Cricetulus griseus: one gene and its partner. The protein of the gene in region 2 purifies or fractionates together with the protein of the main gene of each other region. This does not show direct contact. Links are inferred from orthologs where the notes say so. Each region holds a gene or a part of one and is shown on either strand. Other genes may lie near its edges.

Evidence for each region.
Region 1: the proteins of Golph3 (region 2) and Fam20b purify together in Homo sapiens (affinity purification with mass spectrometry; 3 studies listed by BioGRID and IntAct, with this or other methods). This does not show direct contact. The link is inferred for Cricetulus griseus from reciprocal best matches to the Homo sapiens genes GOLPH3 and FAM20B.

What each region holds. Positions count from the first base shown.
Region 1 is NC_048598.1:35,161,086-35,171,194, reverse strand, and holds the end of Fam20b (glycosaminoglycan xylosylkinase), read right to left. Parts: intron 9,353-10,109; coding exon 9,293-9,352; intron 5,227-9,292; coding exon 4,995-5,226; 3' UTR 2,207-4,994; downstream 1-2,206. UniProt on the Homo sapiens protein: Responsible for the 2-O-phosphorylation of xylose in the glycosaminoglycan-protein linkage region of proteoglycans thereby regulating the amount of mature GAG chains.
Region 2 is NC_048595.1:345,378,926-345,389,034, reverse strand, and holds part of Golph3 (Golgi phosphoprotein 3), read right to left. Parts: intron 5,876-10,109; coding exon 5,761-5,875; intron 282-5,760; coding exon 1-281. UniProt on the Homo sapiens protein: Phosphatidylinositol-4-phosphate-binding protein that links Golgi membranes to the cytoskeleton and may participate in the tensile force required for vesicle budding from the Golgi.

The DNA.
Region 1 (10,109 bases), on a different chromosome or scaffold from region 2:
CGCCGAATCCTTACCCACCTATTCTTCGAGGACCCTCATCCCAGGGACTCCCATACCCGGCTGGGGTGGTCTGTGGCAGGACCTCAGGCCTGTGAGTCAACATATGTGTGTGGCAGAGAAAATGGACCTCACTTTTCTTTTTTAAAAGGAGTTATTTATTATGTGTACGTACAGCATTCTGCCTCCTTGTATCCCTGCATACCAGAAGAGGGCACCAGATCTCATTATAGATGGCTGTGAGCCACCATGTGGTTGCTGGGACTTGAATTCAGGACCTCTGGAAGAGCAGGCAGAGCTCTTAACCTCTGAGCCACCTTTCCAGCTCTGAACCTCACTTTTGAAAAGCCACTTCCCACCCCGCTGAAGGTAGCCAGGACCATCTCTCTTGAAAACAATCTCTGGGGACAACACAAGCCTCTTATCTCCAAATAAATAAATTTGGTAAACAGACCCTGAAACCACCAGGATGAATGTGTCCTAGTTCACCTGGTAAAGGTTCAACCTCCGTGGCCTAGGGCACTTGTGGGATCCCTGTGCTCTGTGACTGTTCTTTCAAGAGAGGGTACACTCAACACAATGACCTCAGGCAGGGGACAGAAGTGCAGGCCCTGGTGGTCCTGAATCTTGAGTTCACAGCTCCCCAATTCTGGAGTCATGGAGCTTTTATTCCATCATTGTTGAGAGGAACTGTATTAAAGGGTGTCAGCAGGAAGGGTGAGAACTCCTGTTCTAGAGGCTTCTTACATGAAGGGCCAGTCACATCTGGGTGGCATGTTGCATTGCTCAGGACACAGATGCATACTGGGGTTTATACTGCCCCCCCCCCCCCCGCGCCGCCTGCTCTAAGAAATGAAAGCCATACGTGTGCTGAGGAGTGAAGGGGTCCTCCTGTGGCGTGTGCAGGAAGATCTATGTGACCATTTGAATGAGAACTGTCCCTCAGTCTTGGGCATTCAAATACTTGGTCTGCAATTGATGGTGACGTTTGGGAGGTTTGGGAGCTATGGCCTTGTGACCGGAGGAAGGAGTTAAGAGTTAAAGACCTGTCATACAGTGGTGGCCCCTGGCTTTAATCCCAGCACTTGGGAGGCAGAGGTAGGTGGTCCTGAGTTCAAGGCCAGCCTGGTCTAGAGAGAGTTCCAGAGTGGCCATTGCTACACAGAGAAACTCTGTCTTAAAAAAAGAAGAGTTTAGCCGGGTGGTGGTGCACCTTTAATCCCAGTGCTTGGGAGGCAGAGGCAGGCGGATATCTGTGAGTTCAAGGCCAGTCTGGTCTACTGAGTGTCTTTCAGGACAGGCTCCAAAGCTGTACAGAGAAACCCTGTCTCGAAAAACCAAAAAGAAAAAAAAAAGAAAGTTTAAGACTCCTATCATTTCAAATTTGCTCTGCTTCATGCTTGTGGTTGAAGGGGTGAGCCCACAGCTTCTGCTCCAGCCACCATTCCTGCCACCTCTACCTCTCCACCATGGGCCCTTATCTGATAACTTGTTGCCTTGGTCATGGTGTTCTAATCACAACAATACAACGTGATACGTCAGGGAGGAACACACACCAGTCTTGGCCTGCTCTCCATTGTGATGGACAAATACAAAGACAAGAGCTGGCAGCAAACCAAGAGGAAATCTAAGCTGCTTGTCTGGTGGAGGGTTTATTTACTTTTAATTTATTATGTATACAGTGTTCTGCCTGCACATATGCCTGCAAGCCAGAAGAGGGCACCAGATCTCATTACAAATGGTTGTGAGCCACCATGTGGTTGCTGGGAATTGAACTCAGGACCTCTGGAAGAGCAGACAGTGCTCTTAACCACTGAGCCATCACTCTAGCCCTTGGCTGAGGGTTTAAGATACTGGATTTCCATTTCAAAAATGAAAATTCTGAGTATCCTAAGAATTCTAATCAGGGGAATTTGTTTCTGCTAAGTCCTACTTAGGATTCATAGTTCTTCATCTCACAAGAAGCTTCGAGAAAGGAGCTAACTATTAAACATCCAGGACACCCTGAAGATTATGACAACTTTGAAGTCCGCTACAGCTGACTGTGTGGGCCTAAGTCTGTGGCGCTCACTCACTGGAAGCAATCCCTATGGAAGTTTAAGTAGAGGCAAAGGATGTAATGTTTTGTTCCTTAAAAACAGGTAGGAAAATGGAATAGGAAGCACTGGGGAGAAAAAAAAAGTATTAACAGGAAAACATGATACAATAATATATATTAAAATCTTTATTATTTCTTTTTCAGAATTGAAACCCATAGAACACATTAGAAATTTGTTTGGTGTCTTACCAAGTACAACCTCTGTCTGTACAACAGCTCCAAGAGGAAATCCCAGGCAGATCAAACAAGAGGGCAGTGATGCCTACACCACCCTTTAGACAAATAAATTAATCTCCCAGTAAGTTATTCCCAGCCTCCCCCAATAGTTTGAGGATCACTGTAGGTCCTAAAAACGCGTGACAGTGCAGTACCCAGTCCCCATTCACCACCCAGCCTAGAGAGATACAGGGGAGAAAAGCCAGCCTCCCCCATGGAGCAAGTTTCACAGTCAGGTCACCTGGCTCAGCAGACTGCTCAGGAGATGCTTGGTGAACGTGCTAACCTTTACTGGCCAAGTCCTTTCTCAGTGTCAGTCAGTATTTCCTTGTGTCAAAGGAAATCTATGTTCCTTGGCAGAATACAACACGGCCATACTGACCCAAAAAGCCCTGTACCCACCATCCTGAAAGCCAGATCAGAGGCACAAGGGAGCTTGCTGACCGAAGCTGTCTTATGGTCACAAGAGAAGGTCAATTGCTGGTCAAAGAGACCAAGTGAGGAATGAGAAGGGAGGCTGAAGGGTGTGGTCATGGAGATGCAGAGCCAAGGTGTGAGTGTTTCAAAGAAAACACAAATTCTTTGGATGGCAATTCTGTCACCAGCACTGGGAAAAAAAGAAAAGCTGCCAGGATTCACTTTGCTAAAATAATCTGTAATAAATGTAGTCAAATCCTTCCATTTTCTTCTTAAAATTTAGTCTTGACACTTTAACCCTGAGTGCAAACAGGGAGACATACCTTAAAAATACCACCCATCTTCAGCAAATTAGAGCCCATTGTTTTAAAAGGAATTTATAGCACAGTGCAGCCTGAGACTAAGGAACAGTTTGAGAATAAAAATTCTATACCTAAATTTCTCATTTCAACTTCAGAATACATATATTTAAGAAGTGGGAGCAAATGAGGAAACTGCAATAGGTTCCAGTTTCTTGGTTTTGTAGTAAATATGTCCATGTATTCAGTGTTCAGTTGGCAAATGTAATTTAGAGCAGACCTAGCTCCCTCTGGTGGCTTGATTATAACAGCCCTAACTCTCATAAATGACCTGGAAAGAGGCCAGAGTTACAACACTTTTTAAAAACGTGCCTCTCCTTTTTTCTCCAACACAACTTTTGTGTCTATAAATTTGGAGCTAGAAGCTTATGGCCGCCTCCCTGCCCTGCCAACCTTGCCAAGTGTGAGAAACCTGAGGGCTTAAACTCAGAAGGTAGTTGCTCAATCCAGGCTCCATGGCTGGCACTAAATGTCAAGCATGGCACTGAAAGGCTGGTCTTGACAGAAGTCCAGAACTGGACAAGAGGCAGAGGGAACACACAGCTCCGTGTGTGGACACCGTCCCGAGCCCTGTAATTTACCACCAGCTGCTTCCATGTCAAGTGACTTTGCCAGAACACACAACTAAGCCTAAACTTGACAATGCTGCAAGGAGATGAATTCTACTAACTACACCATGGGTTCAAAACTCCAATATGAACCAAAATATTAAGGCTCTTCATGGTAGTCTCAGTTTCAAGGCTCAGAAGGCTTAAAATCTTTTTCTCTGCTACCTGCAGGGCCTACATCACAAGCTCAGTCCAGCAACCAGCAGGACGCTTTCTAATAAGAAGGCACAAACAAGGCCATTAACCTCATGACAGCAGCATCGCTGATTAAATGCCTTACACCTTAGAAGAGAAACGAGAGGTGAGTATGGTTGCTCATACTAATAATCCTAGCATGTGGAAGGCTGAGGCAGGAGGATTGCTGCCAGTTCAAAGCTAGCCTGATTATATACTAAATTCCAGACCAGCATGGGCTAGAGTAAGAGCCTATAGTCTACCTCAAAATAAACAATACCAACAAGGTGTGTGTGTGTGTGTGGGGAAGGTGAGGATGACAGAGATCACAGGTACCAAACTTGTATTATTTCAGCTTGTTTTGCTACTTAGAGGGTAAGTCAGTGCCTGGCAGGGAGTATGCTTGGGTTGTAATCCTATTTCCTCTGTAGACAGTTTTGGTTTATTTGAACAGGACTAGAGGGTGAGTGTTTGCTTTGGACACATTTAAGAACCTAAACACAGGGGAAGCTGATTTTCACTAAGGCAATCATCCTCCTGGTTCTACAGAGTGAGTCCCTCCCTCTTCTCTTCCCTGAGATGTCAAATCCATAGCACTCAATAGCTACGAGCCCCAACACCTTCCTGACCTGACCTTCCCTTCCTCCATCTACCTTAAAATGGGTCTCCTCCAGCAGCCTGTGCTCTTTTGTCTGATGCCACTCTGGAGGAGCAGGACATTTTATAATCTGACTAGTTCTGCCTTTGTTTGTTGTTTGTTTTTAAAGACACAAGGGACTGCAAAGTCAATCTACAGAATCTATGGGTGTGGAGAAAAGATGGCATGCTCCACCCCAGACACAAACTCTGGAACCAAACTGCTTAGCCAGTGTCACACCTGTTTGTCCTTTTTGTGGGAATAAGACTGACCAGAGATGGAGCCTGCTGCCTGAATAGGCCACTGCTGTGGATGCCAGGTGACTCCACAGACAAGCTCCCATGCCGACACTGCAGTAAACACCAAGCACTCCCAGCACCACCAATACCCGCTGCTGGCCACTTCCAGGCCATCACATGCCACTTGGAATTGATTGTGCTGTTTCTCTATCTTCGTATAAACCAGTTCCACCTGTTTCACGTTGAGAGTTACAAGTGGGAGAGCGGCATCCTGTCTTCCACCAGCACAGTGTCCATCCCAAACTGGTCAGTACACTGCTTGACAGTGGCAAGGACATTCAGAAGCCGCTGGTCCACAGTGTCCAAGTGTGGATCAGAGAGCACAGGGGAGATGGGGTCATGGGCCATGGCAGATTTTAAGGCAGACTTTAGCACTCCATTCTTTAGGTAGTTCAGTCTATTCCAGGTTGAAACCCGAATGCTGAAAGAAAAAGTTTTAAAAGAAGTTACATAACATCTTTCTATCAAATTCTGTATAAAGCTTGGATAGCAGAAAAGTTTTTTTAAAAATTGTGTAAAATATTTCAACTAAAAGAAAAAAAATCACTTCTATTTCAGACTTACCTCTTTATTAAAAGTAAGCTGCACTGCCATGTTGTAAATTTTGGGGAGTAATTAGAAATATCTACAAAAGCTGGGCAGTTTAGGAGGCAGAGGAAGGCAGAGCTCTGTGAGTTCAAGGCCAGCCTGGTCTACAGAGTGAGTTCTAGGACAGCCAGGGCTGTTACACAGAGAAATCTGGTCTCAACAAACAAACAAACAAACAAACAAAGGAGATATATACAAAGATTTATACATATTCATTGCAGTAAGAGGAAAACTGAACCAATCTAAATGTCTAACAAGCAAGAAATACTTCAAATTATGGCCAATCCACTAGGGAAATATCATGCAGCCATTAAAAAGGTTTGAAAACCGAGTGGCATGGGGAAATGTCCATGATAATTATGTTAGAGTTGAGAAAATTGGAGAGGAAAACTTCTATTCCACATCTGTAGGGAAACTAACGTGTATGATTAGAGCAACGGAACTGCAGGGTTAGAATGTAGAATGAAGTTCACTGTGTTAACAGGAACTATCCTCAGATGCTCAATTTCTGAATTTTAAAAATTCAACCATTAATAATAGAAAAATATTTACTCTAAGAATGAGTATATATATATACTTCATATATATATATATGAAGACAGATCTCTGTGAGTTCAAGTCCAGGCTGGTCTACAGGGCAGGTTCCAGTACAGCCAGGGATACACACAGAAACCCTGTCTCAAAACCCCACCCACTACCACTGGAAAAAAAAACAAAAACAAAAACAAAAACAAAAAACAAAAAAACTACTTTCTTGGAGATGGAAGTGGCTCAGCAATTAAGAGCATTTATTGCTCTTGGAGAGGGAGGACCCATGTTCAGTTTCCATGTTCAGTTTTCTGAGCTGTGCACAGTGGCCTGTAACTCAAGCTTCAGGGGAACCAATGTTTTCTTCTGGCTGCTGCAGGCACTGCATTCAGGAACACATAGTACCACAGACAGACACAAAGACAGACGCACAGACATAATTCCCTAAGTTATTTCACTAATTGCTATGGTTTAGGTATTTATCCCCAGTAACACTCATGTGAGAAAGCAGTTGCCACTGGAACAGTATTCTAAAGATTCAACCAGTTCATGTGGGCAGAGGTGATGCTGATGCTGCCCTCTGCAATTCCATCTCTTGTCAAGGAGTAACACAGTAAGAACTCTTTCAGGGGCTGGAGAGATGGCTCAGAGGTTAAGAGCATTGGATGCTCTTTCAGAGATCCTGAGTTCAATTCCCAGCAACCACATGGTGGCTCACAGCCATCCGTTATGAGATCTGGTGCCCTCTTCTGGTGTGCAGATATACATTGAAGCAGAATGTTGTATACATAATAAATAAATAAAATCTTTTTTTTTTTTTTTTTTTTAAAGAGCTCTTTCAGGGTGCCAGGGTTTTGATATTAGGTGACCAGAGTATCATCCCTGGAGACCATTTAAGGCGGATGGAAGGAGTCAAGTGCCTAAACTGTCCTCTGACCTCCACTCATACACTGGTACACAAGCCCATGCCTACACACAATGCATACAAACACACATAATAAAAATAAAATAAAATACATTTAAAGGAAATGCCTTGGTTTGTGACTTTCTGTTATAGCAGAATGAAATAGAATAAGTGACCAAAGAGAAGTGATTTATCTCAAGATAAGTTCTTACCTCTCTGTGGACACAGGAGAGGTAACTAGGCAGAATGTGGACACAGGAGAGGTAAGCAGGCATGCATACGTGTCTTACTTTGAGAGAAGTAGACTCTTTTGCAGCTACTTAAAGTAAGGAAGATGAGTCTTTGTACAAAGCACAGAAGAGATGGACTACATGCACTGGACAGCATTGTGACTCTGAACTCTACTGTAGATGCACAGGCATCAGAGCTTCTCCAGGGTAACAGAGCTGCTACTTGATTGACCCACACCAACTTCACACTCCAGTATTTGCTTCTCATATTCTCAATAGTGTCTCCTCATAAACCAGAAGAGGGACAGTGCAGCAGGAAGGGGCTCTCTCAGTGCCTCTGGCTATTGTAGGGTAAGTAGTTTAGTGGTACAGGAAGGAGGTCTCCAACAAAGCTCTGCCTCAGCTGTATTCTCAGAAGATGCAAACCCATGAAGCTGCAGCCTCATCTGATCACTTCCCTGAGGTCCCTTTTTCAGACAGGGTCTCATGTAGTCCAGAAGACTGGATTTGCTAAACAGCTCAAAACGATACTTCTCCTACTCCCCCCACCTCCCCTCCCACCCCTAAGCGCTGGGATGACAGCACTGAGGCTTTCCTGACATAGGGACCAGTATGGCATCACCAATCTGATTCACTCTGTGGGCCTATAAATGTGTCCTGAAGGTGGCTCAGAGGCTTCCCAGAGTCATCTCTTCCTCTGCAGATCATGACATCAGCTGCTGACTGCCTGTATCCCACCTGCTCTCAGCTTTCCACATTAGTAAGGAGAATGAGGGCGGCCCAGGTACATATGACTTTCTAAAGAACTCAGTTTCCTACTGAGAAAGAAAAGGCTGAGCACAGTGGCACAGACTTGTATATAATCCCAGTACTTGGGAGACTGAGGCAAGGATTCTGGGATTCTGAGGGCAGTGTGAAAGAAAATAAGGAAGGACCAGGGGGAAGAGCTAGGGAAGGAGGGGAATGACAGGAAAGGGTGGAGACAGTTGGGCTGAAGAGCTGAGTCTGTAAAGTGGTCTGCAACCATAAGGACTTGAGTGTGACCCCTATGATTCATGTAGAGCAGTACATACTTGTAAACACAGAGTCAGGGAAATGGAGACACAAGGACCCCCAGGGCTTAATGGCAAGCCAGGTAAGTTCCAGGGCAATAAAAGACCTTTTCTTAAAAAAAAAAAAAAAAAAAAAAAAAAAGGGTGTGCTGTTCCTGAGGATGACACCAAGACTGTCCTCAAACCTACACACATATATGCACACATATGCCTATGTTCACACATACAATAGCAGAAGTGTGTGTGTGTATGTGTGTGTGTGTGTGTGTGTGTGTGTGTGCGCGCGCGCATGTGGTGGGGGACACTGGTGTATACTTCAGTGGTAAAGTACTTGCTTAGCAGGCACAAGATTCTGAATTTAGTTCCAGCACTGGAAAAACACAGACAGACAGATAAGACAAGTGAAAAGACAGAAAGAAGGCAAAGTCACAGGGGCTGTTTCTGGGATGACTAGCACTAGGGTGTTCCCAGACCTGCTTTCTGCAGCCAGTGAGGCAAATCCTGCTGGTTCTTGATATGCAAACTTCAAAATCAGCCCAGGAGCTGGGACCTGAAGCAGGAGCTCCTAGGGCCAGGTTTTATTTCATTTTCTTGATTTACTTCTCAGTTTCTTTAATCTCTACTATATTTAAATCACTCTTTAAATACTTAGAGGAAGTTATTTTTGGATTAGATAACTTCAAACTAAGACATACAAACTCCAGGTGGGAGGGTCTGAAACAAGGTAAACCAGATGCAGCAACGAAGAATGCAGATTGTAACCGATTTAAAAAAAGCAAACCAATTTTTTTGAGATTGTCTCACTATGTAGTCCTGGCTGGCCTAGAACCCACTATGTAGTCCTGGGTAGCCTTAAACTCACAGAGATCCACCTGCTTTTGCATCTTAGGTGCTGGGGATGAAGCCCAGCTAGATTGTTTTTAGCAGGTGATAGGTATATTAAGCCAAACAGGCATGTATTACTATAGATACTACAAACTTACTGATGCAAAATTCAAAATGAATTCCGAGCTTTGGGTGACCTACCTCTGTGCTTCCCTCAGCACTGTCAGGCTTTACAGGGGTTCTGGGTTATAGAAGTAGGAAAAGCAACCCGGATGTTTTAAGGTCAAGAAAACCGATGTACTGGTACCTGAACCTGAAGGAGGTAATGCAGGCAGACACACCTGCTATGCATTAACTTACATGCAACACTGATAGAGAGGGGCAAGAATGCTTCTCTCATCCAGCGAGGGGTTCCCAAAGCTGAAAATTAAATTAAGACAGTAAATTAGGTCCAAGTGTTTGTTCCCTTCTCAGCATCAAAGCAAGAGCACATTCTGTAAAAACCCAACTGTGATCCTAGATAATTTCATGCTCCAACAGCTCAAATCATTTAAATTAAAAATAAGCCAGGCATAACTAATTAGACACAGGATCATTAACAGCCTGAACTAAAGTATCAAATAGCAAATAAACTCATGTAACAAGGACCCTTTTCCTGTCAAGATGCCGTAAGATGCTGTGGTACACACTTTGAGTTCCCAGTGCAAAGGGAGAATGCAGAAATCCTAAGCCTATACAACGTTTAAAAGGCTCTCCCTGATACTTCCTCCAAAAGCCAGGTGTATATTACTTCTGGAATCATTAAAACCTTATTCCTGTAAGCAAACCTGCTGGCAGCTTCAAACCAGAAAAACTGCCCAGGAGCTTTCAGAGGTTGAGACAGAATCAGCTCATAGCAGATATAAAAATAGCATTCCATTAGGAAAGGAATGGTGACTCTGGGAAAATGATCACCCTCTCATTCTTTTTGTTTCTGTGTAGTCCTGGCTGTTCTAGAACTTGCTCTGTAGACCAGGCTGGCCTCAAACTTACAGAGATCTGCCTGCCTCTGCCCAAGTGCTGGAGTTAAAGGCCTGTACTACCACCACCCGGGCCCTTCCATTCTTTTCCTAAAACTTCCTTTAATGACTGGAGAATCTACTAGCCCTGACGACAGTGCAGGCAAAGCAGCTGCTAT
Region 2 (10,109 bases):
GTTTTCCAAAACATCTGAGGCATGGGCTAGGTAAATGAGGGCCAGCAAGCGCTTGTCCATTCGGTGAGGGTCATTTACCCATTTGTCAAGAACGGCTTCTTGTACCTTCTTGATGAGGCGCTGCTTAATGTTGTTATTGGTGAGAGGATGTGTTGTCATGTCAAACAGGAGAAAGTTCTGTTTCTCTGTCGTCAGTACACCCTTTTCTACCAGGTTTTTGGCTAATCGTTCCCGTACATTTCTTAACTGATAGTGCAATTTTAATGGATTCCACGTCTCACCTAAGTAAGAATGTTCCAGAAGTTAGAATTATGGGTATTATTTGCTGAACTATAACAACAACAAAAAACGAAATATTAGATAAGCAAAAGAACTTTTATTCTTGCCCCTTCCCCACATGAAGTCCAAGTCTGGACCACTGGGTTCCAGGCACCCATCATTCTCAGGCATAGTAGTCTTCAATCCACAGCCACCCTTGATCTAAAAGAATAATGAACCAAGTATTAAGTTTTGTTCCTGCCTGCTCTGGCAGAACATGGGGCACAGACTCGCCAGATGGAGGCGGGGGCTCTCAAGTGTGGAAGCATCTGGGCTACATGCAAAAGACTGTCCTACAAAATAAAAGCAGCACAAGGCCCTTGCAACCCTCAATACTAACAGCACCCCAAAGAAGCAGTAAATGGATCCCCACAAAGTACTGATCTTCAACAGAAAAAAGGAAAGTGAAGCTCTGTGGTTTTGAGTTACTCCTGACACTGACACTAAGACAATCTGTGAGACAGCAAAGTGTGTGTGGACAAGGATAAAAAATTATATAAAGTTGACCCCTGAAGAGAAAAAAAAAAAAAAAAAAAAAAAAAACATTTTCAAAGTTTTTTGTTTTGTTCTGGAGACAAGGTTTCTCTGTGTAGTCTCTGCTGTCCAGGAACTCACTCCATATACCAGGCTGACCACCAACTCAGAGACCTGCCTGCCTGCCTCTACCTCCCCAGTGTTGGGATTAAAGGCACATGCCACCACCACCGGGCATCATTTTTAGTTCTTAAGTCTGTCACCTAAAATCACTTCCTTTTAAGACAAATACTTGGTTAAACTAAGCATTTCCCATTAAAAATAATTTTCAGCTTAGCATGGTGGTACATGCCATTAATCTACAGCCTCATCTACAGAAGTGAATTCCAGGAGAGCTAGGGCTATATATAGAAACCCTATCCCCCCCCCACAAAAAAAAAAAAGCCCTTTACAAAATTTGGTAAGAAGCAAAAATATTAGTAACTTTGACTAACTTTCAGATTATATGTAACAAGTTTAACTGTATTTTCCAAAGATCACCAATGAACACAGAACTACTTTTGCAGTTTGGGGGAAAAACAAAACATCAAAGGACTTTTCTAAACCACAACCCATTAAAAACCAACCCCAAACCCCTTCCTTCGGCATAGACTCTAAGGCTGTGAAGTTTTAGAACACTAAGAGAATCTACATTACTAAAGCTGTAACATGGAGAGTAACATGGAGCTATTTAAAATTTCAGTCCCTCAGCTCTACAAGCCACATTTTAAGTATGAAAAGTCGTAAGTAGCTGGCCTATTAGTTACTCACTAGGCAGCACAGAACACTGTTATCACAGGAAGGACTAGTGAACTGTGGCACCTGGAATGAATTTCTGTTCAGATGGCCACAGAAACTATTTTATTGTCACCTAACAGTAAAAAATTATCCTTGGCAGGAGCTCAGTAACACTTAAGCGTACATGATGCTCACACAGGGCCGGGAGTTTGATCCCAGCATCCACGTCAGGTGCCTCACAGCCAGCTTTAACTCCAAATTCCGGGGGTGGGGGGGGGTGGGGGGGCAATGCCTTATGACCTTTTCCAGGCACCTGGTATACACACATACAGTCAGGGACACATACATAAAATAAAAATTAAAAGACTACCTGGACAGCAAAACAATCCTTGTTTTAGAAATATGGGGAAAATAATTTTCAGATACTGGTCATAAAGCATTCCAAAATGAGACTTTCGGGCAAAACCTATTGAGTTTCAGAATTGTCCCAACTACACTCCCTAGTATATCCAAAGTAACAAAAACGCACAGCACAGCGGTCACCCTAACTCAGTCACCCCACCCAAGTCTGTGGTCAGAGATCAAGATGGCTAAAGCAGCTGAAAGATACAAGGCAGAGTACAGAAGGTCTAGAGACCTGCACCATATTCTCAAGTCTCGGAAAACTAAGCCACACAAGTTGAATCGAGAAACTGCAAAGCTAAGCAAAAAGACAAATACCAAAAAGTTAGACGATGCCAAGAGTTTTCAGAGAGGTGAGTAAAACCTGTATACCAACTAGCCTAAGGGGAACACTTATGGACTGTCTGAGACACAAGAGGACCAGGAAAGACCACACTTTAGGAACAAGGCTGAACTAGTCTCAAGCGAAAACTACTCTGGCCTGTACTATCCAAGCTTTAAAGCATGATCCACAAGTCACTTAAATGTCTGTCTACCAAAGGAAAAGCCAACAGTCCCCCCACCCCAGAGGAAGAGAGACAATACGGAGATTGAATTCAGGACCTCCCATATTCTAGGCAGGCACCCTAAAAATCAAACACTCTTTAAACAAAGACAGCAAGTTCAGAATTTTATATTCACAATGCTGAGTGTTCAATTTTAAAACAGTAACACATTAGATTTACAAAGAACAAAATGTGTCCCAAAACTAATGGGGAATGGAAATAGCCAACCAAATCAACTATGAACAAAAAATAACAAAATGATAATCAGCAAACAAGGATTTTAAAGAGAGCTAGTATAACACCTATGCAATTTAAAGGAAATGAGCACAAAATAGGAACTACCTTTTAGAAAGAATTATCTGAGACAGGCTTTTATTACATTATTTGGCATGTATGTGTGTACACATGTACGTGACTCATGCCACAAATGCGGAGATCAGAGGACAGCTTGCAGGAGTCCGTTCTTTCTTTCCATTGGGTTATCAGGCCTGGCAGCAAGTACCTTTAACTCTGAGTCATCTCATTGGTCCATGCAAGAATCATTAAAATGTTGCAATTTACTTTGGAAAAGGACTTAATGAATATGATAAAAGGTTGGTACTGTGAATTACTAATAAGCAAGGCCATTTTGTTCATTTAAAGAAAAACATTTCAAATAAAAAGTCACAACAAATCAGTCTCTGCAAACGCCTATGGTCTCAAACATGCACACACACTACTTCATAAGGTAGTATTTACAATGTTCTTGGGAATCATAGTACCAAGAATATAAACATTAAGACTTATTTCTAACCTTTTAGGAATTACAATTAAGTGAAAAGAAACCTTCATAATTTACTGGCTAGAATAAAATGGGAATGGGGCCCTAAGAACAAAATGAGGCATTAGAAATGATTAATAAGGGTTATCTCTAAGAAAGTTACGGGGGAAGGGGCACTCAAGCTACATCTAGTCTTCCAGAAAGAATAAACATTTAAGAACAGAAGAAACAGCACAAGTGCACAGCAGTGATGACCTTCTTTCAAAGGTTCTTGTAACTTCCAACTTTTAACTCAATCTGTCATCTCCCAAAGTGCCTACTCATCACCTGACAGCTTGGGTTTTGGATTTTATCGTTTCCTAATGCCAGTGTCAGGAAAGCAAACAACCCTAACCTAAAATCAGACATGTATTAGCTAACTTTGGAGAATACAAGCTAATACAACAGAAGATGATAGCCACATTTATATAAATACTTAAAAATCTACACTTTAACTCTGCCATAAACTATGCATACAGTAATCTATATGATGTCAAAGAAACACTTTCTCCTAGCAACACTAGCTAATTCATTATTACTGTCTGAATACACTTATATTTCCACAGAACTGAAGTGCAACACAACTGTGTTCTAACAGTCTGTCACACTTCAGATGACATCTTGACTATCTCAGGGAACCAGGCATGGCAGCAAGTGCCTGTTTATCTGCTGAGCCTTCTCACTGGCCCACTCTAATCTTCTGAAAAGGTACATTTTCTTTTGTGTGTAGAATTTTTGCCTTTTAAAGGTCTAATCCAAACTCTACTTCCTATTTTTCCCTTAACCAAACTTTTAGAGAGCTATGAGTATTAAATTATTGGACATAATTTAACTGTCTCTGTGTAATAAGTTCATAGCATCTATGTCAGTACCATGCAACACTGGCATTCACACAGTACACCACATACTTTTCTGTAGCTCATACTTCTACAGTGCAGGGTAGGTGTCAAATCCAGGGTTTTGCACATTCTAAATCTTTTAGGACTATAACTCTGATGTGGACCACTTTGAAACAACTGAAATTTGAAAAGGAAAAAAAAAAAAATGTTCCCACCACCAAACTGTCCACAGACCTACATACTTAAAATACAGGAAAGCAGCTTGATGGCTCAGCGAGCAAAGCCACTTGCAGCCAAGCATTACCATCTCAACCTACCCCACGGCTCAAATGATGAGAACTAACTCTTGCATGTTGTCCTATGACCTCTACCCTGTGCCAGGGCACACTCACTCCCCCGCCACATCCACTCCCTCCCTCCCTCCCTCTCTCTCTAACATGTGTGCGCGCACTGCTTCTCTCTAAAAGAACATATTAGCTGGGCAGTAGGGGCACACGCCTTTAATCCCAGCACTTGGGAGGCAGAGGCAGGCGGATCTCTGTGAGTTCGAGACCAACCTGGTCTGCAAGAGCCAGTTCTAGGACAGCCTCCAAAGCCACAGAGAAATCCTGTCTCGAAAAACCAAAATAAAATAAATAAAACGTATTTAAAAACTCAAAGTTATTAGCCAGCCAGCTGAAATCTGGTCCATTTGCTCAATAGGGTGCACGTGACTGTTTTCCCCTAAGCCTTGCACATGGAACCAAGCATTCCATCACTAAGCTCCAACCAGAACCACCGTTCCTATACTAACAATGTGCTTTGTTTTCTCTTCCCTTTTTTCATGTCAACATGGCAGTTCACTACTAATATATTCCTGATAATAAAATGTGCTAAACACAACACTCTGGCATTTATAGACAATCTAAAAACATGAGGCATTGTCTAAATATTTTCCTCATGGATTCTGACCTAATCCAATGAACATCCATCCTACTGTATTGGGGGAAAGTGTATAGAATTTTTCAATGCTCTAGTGAGCTCAAGTTGAAAACCAAATTCAGTCAGCACTCACAGTAGTAAGATTTAGTAAGCAACCATACAACGTTAATTAGTTAAGTAAAACCACCTTAACCTATTAACCCAACCCCTTAGGACAATACTTGTTTGGATACACGCACTGTCAAAGGATATCCAGTGATCCAAGACACTGACCGCCAGACTGGACAAAGCCCAATGAGCCCCTGGTATACATAAGATCAAGAAATAGCTTATAGTTTATAAAGACATCCTCACAGCTTGGCCCACTCTGTAAGCAGTAAACTGTAACAATGATTCTGATAAAGAATGATGGCAACAGGCATGGTGGTGCAAGCTTTAATCCCAGCACTTAGGAGGCAAAGGCAGGTGGATCTGAGTCAGTAGCTCAGCCATGACTACAAAGCAATGAGACCTTGACTCAAACAACAGATGAGAGCTTGAAGGAAGAACATTCCATCTCATTTAGTATCTGCTCTCTCATGTAAAAGGAGATAATTTTTTTTAATTATCACTCCGCTACCATTTTCCATAATTAAAAACTTCTCTAAGCAGAATTTCATGATTACCGTTTAATACATCAGCTTACCGCTAAGTAACTCAATCCAGTTCTGGACTGTCTCTGGAGGCTGAGTCTCCTTAACATGCTTTAGAGCTTCATCAAGAAGAACATCCCCTGTTGGAGCATCCGATTTACAGACCACCTAAAACACAAGCAGTCAGAAATGATCCACTGGTACTGTCTTCCCTCAAACTCATTAGATGAAAAACAAGTATGCAAATATTTCATGCTCAGAGCACTTACTGTAATTTCACTTGATGCTGAACCTTAAGCTATTTATTTTTTTAAAGATTTATTTGTTTGTTTGTTTATTATGTATATAACATTCTGCTTCCATGTATATCTGCACACCAGAAGAGGGCACCAGATCTCATAATGGATGGCTGTGAGCCACCATGTGGCTATTTAATGCAGAAATTCATTCACTATAACATTCTTAAGACTCAGAAACAGACTCAACTATATGGAAAAATTTATATAGTAAAAGGGCATTTCACATAAGTAACAGAACTAATTTTCTCAAAAAATGTCATTAAGAAAACTTTGACAAGTTGGAACAAAAACAAAATTAAGAAATGGCTCCCTTGAGCTTATGCTCAATAAAAGATAATAAAAAATATGAAGGGAAATACAATTTTAAGGATAGGTTTTATTTTAAATGCCACTGCTAGCAGAAGCCTTAATGGCTGCAAAATTACTCTATTTCCAGCACCAAGAGGGTGAGGATCGGAGGTGGGAGGGGCCGAGGACAGTCTCTAAATCTGTAATTAAAACCTGTGTCGGGTTAAAATCTTAATAGTGAAAAAGGGGCTCAAGCACACTGGCTGCTCTTCTAGGACTTGGGTTTATTTCCAGCACCAGCTCACAATCATCTGTAACTCCAGTTCCAAGGAATCCAACACCTTCTGATCTCTGCAATTACAGCATGCATGTGGTGCAAAGACATACATGCAAACAAAACATCCAGACACATAAAAGAAAAGAAATAAACCTCAAAAACAAGAGTGGAAGATCCTGGGGAGTGAGTAGGAAAGCAGCCCATACTGCCACACTACTCAACAACCTTAGGTTCCCATAGGCTTCACTCAGGTATCTCCTAAACAACACATTTCTAGTTGAAATTCTGTAATACCAAAATTCAACCCATTACAGTACCTTGGAGCGGATATTTAAAATGTTTAAATATGACTGTTCTCTCATACTTGTTTGGCTCAATCTCACTAAATATTAAAATATGTAAGACCTTATTCTTCAGGATTACACAAGAGAAATATACAACCTTAATGCCAACCACAAATCTAGCCTTGAGGAAACAACAAAGTGAAATTTATTTTTAAATATTGGATTTAACCCAATATAACCAAAAACTGTCCCATAATAGATATTTGTTTAAAAGCTGAGATATTGTTTCCACTAATACTGTTTTTAAAAACCCAATGTGTTTTTACAGCACAGATCAATTTTCGATGGTGGCCTGATTACTATGCTGGACAGTACAGATACAGAAATATTCAGAATGTTCATTCCATGGTGCTTAGTTAGACCAGGATTTATGGAGGAGAAAAAGAACTTCGGGAGAAAAGAATACTATGTCTCTGGTGTTGCAGCCATGAAACCTACACTTTTTTCTTCCACTCCTTCCCTCTTTCCATGTGGTCAGGAGCTGGCATCATCAGCCACCTTCCTCGTGCACCCCACTTTAAGGCAAGTGATTTATCAGAGTACAAATAATCCGGCTATAAGCAGATAATTTATTTTCTTCTCAGTTCTGCTTTAAATCTTCCTCACATGTGTCACCTCCTCTATTATCTTTGCCAGGATTTTAGCCCCCAAGTCTGACCATCTTTCATTTGGAATAATTTGTCTCCTGACTAAAGGTCTTCAACTTTTTAATGTTTTGGGGATACTTTTATTTATTTGATAACTTTATAACATAGATACACTGTAACTTGATCATATCCAACCCAAACTTCCCAACCCTTCTCCTCTCACTTCAGTCCCCCACCCCCAATACACACACACACACACACTCACTCGGGGGGGGGGGGGAATATTAGCCCACTGTGTCTAGCTAGTGTGTGGCCTGTATGCACTTGGGTGTGAGAGGCAACCTACCAGTGGTCACACACACCAATCTCCCCTGCAGCCATCAGTTGCTCCTCAACTGGGGGGTGGAGGGACTTTCATGAGACCTCTCCACTTGGCGCTGGAATGCTAACTGGCTTCATCTTATACAGGTGCTGTCTGTGAGTGCACAAGGGGAACACCTTTGGCATCTTTCAGTTCCAAGCTCCAATCTGAGCTCTTCAAGGGGCAAATCTTATATTTCATTGCTCGTGACCAAAACGAATCAGAGAATCAAACAAATTCTAAATTCCTTTTAAAATGTCAAGAATAGCCAGACTTTCATCTCAGCACTTTGGGAGGCAGAGGCAGGTGGATCTCTGAGCTTCTGAGGCCAGCCTGAACTACAGAATGAGTTCCAGCACATCCAGAGCTGCAGAGAGAAACTCTGCCTTGAAAACCAAAAAAGAAAAATACTTCAGTATGTGTGGGTTTAAAATATGCGCTACAATTCTTGCTACATCCAACATAGAAGAGACGGAAAGAAGATAAAACAAGACCTCTGAGGAAATGTATTATATAGATAAAGGAGTTTCAAAAAGCCTCAAGGATTTAACAAACAATATTAGATTCATAAAATAAGAAACCCTGTGGGAACTGCAACCTTAGAGCAAAGAGGCCCAAGATCAGCTGTGCAGCAGATGGGCATGGGTGGTGAGCAATGAGGACATGTATGTGGGCAGATGCAGCCAGAAGCTAAGAAATCAAACAACCCAAAACCAGGGGGCTATAAACAGATTCTCCCTTAGAGCCTTGGGAAAAACAACACAACTACATCTCCTAACTCTGACCTCCAAAACTGAGAGAATTCTTTCTTGCTTAAAGCCCCTATGGCTGTGGTCATTTGTTAGGGTGGCTTTAAAATAACTAAAGACAGTGATGGCACATGCCTTTAATCCTAGCACTCAGGAGACTCTCTGAGTTTGAGGCCAGCCTAGTCTACATACTGAGCTCCAGGACAGATGGGACTACAGAGACACACTATCTCAAAAAAAGACTAATATAGTTGGCTTCCAGAAACAGAAGTAACGAATGAGGAAAAACAGCTACTTTTGGTTTTCTAACTGTATCATTCTTAATTAAATCAGCAATTACTTTTAAAATTTAACTAAGTCATATGGAATATTTTCCAGCAACCTTACCTTCTTCACATCACTCAGAACTAGACTGACTTAAAGTTTCACCACTGTTTCCCAGAGTCTAGCACAGTGCATGATGTACTAAAACACTGAATGAACAATGAATAAAGGAACAGACGATCACCAGTTGCTCATGCACAGCACAAAACTGACTCCTGTTAGCACAATATTCTTTCTTAGGTCAGGACTCTAATGAAAAGTTCCTAAATTAGTAACCTGTATATGCATTCTATTATTAGCTACAACGACAGCTTCCTTGGGTTGTTTTTGCCCATAAACTACTACAGTCGCTGACGAACATAAAATTGTAACCTGATTTATGATATAGTTATCCAAAACAGTAATTTGTTAAGTTTTCTCAATGCCAGCTCACTTGTCTTGAGGGCAAATGGCTGGATTTACCATAGAGATGCCATGAAAGCGTTTCTATGGTGTCAGCCTATAATCTCGGCAGTCCAGGGACTGTCAGAAGATCTAAATTCAAAGCCTTGCAAGTGCTACACAGCAAGACTGACTCAAACAAACATGTCCACATTACTCCACTCATCCAGTACTGAGCTCAAACACAGGCCCTCACACACTCTAAGGGAGCACTCACCCTAAGCTAGCTGCATTTACTCCAATCCAGCAATATTACTTCCTGCATATAACTTTCATTAACACATTATGACATGCCTTCTTATAACATTATCATGCTCTGGTTTATCAGTCAGAAAATTCAGAGCAAGGAATGAAGCACAGGCTTGTATTCTTCGTGCTCTGCAGACAGAGTCAGCAGACCTCCAGGTGAAGGCCAGCATGAGCTACATAGTGAGTTCCAGGGTCAGCCTTGGTTACATTTGTTAGAATCCTTTATCACTTATTACAGAAGTAGCGATTAACATTCTAGGTATCAGCTCCAGAATATTTGTTACTATGAATTTGGTTGTATATAGAATATATACTGGGTGCATTGTATTCTCAAATAGACCCCAGAGAAAGGAATCCTTCTCACCGGGGTGTCACAGTAAGCGCTGCAGCCTCAGATCTCACACTATGTAAACGTAGTTTTCCCTTTGATATATAGCACTGAGAAGCCCCCTTTAATGAATTAACAGCATGTATTGCAAGTCA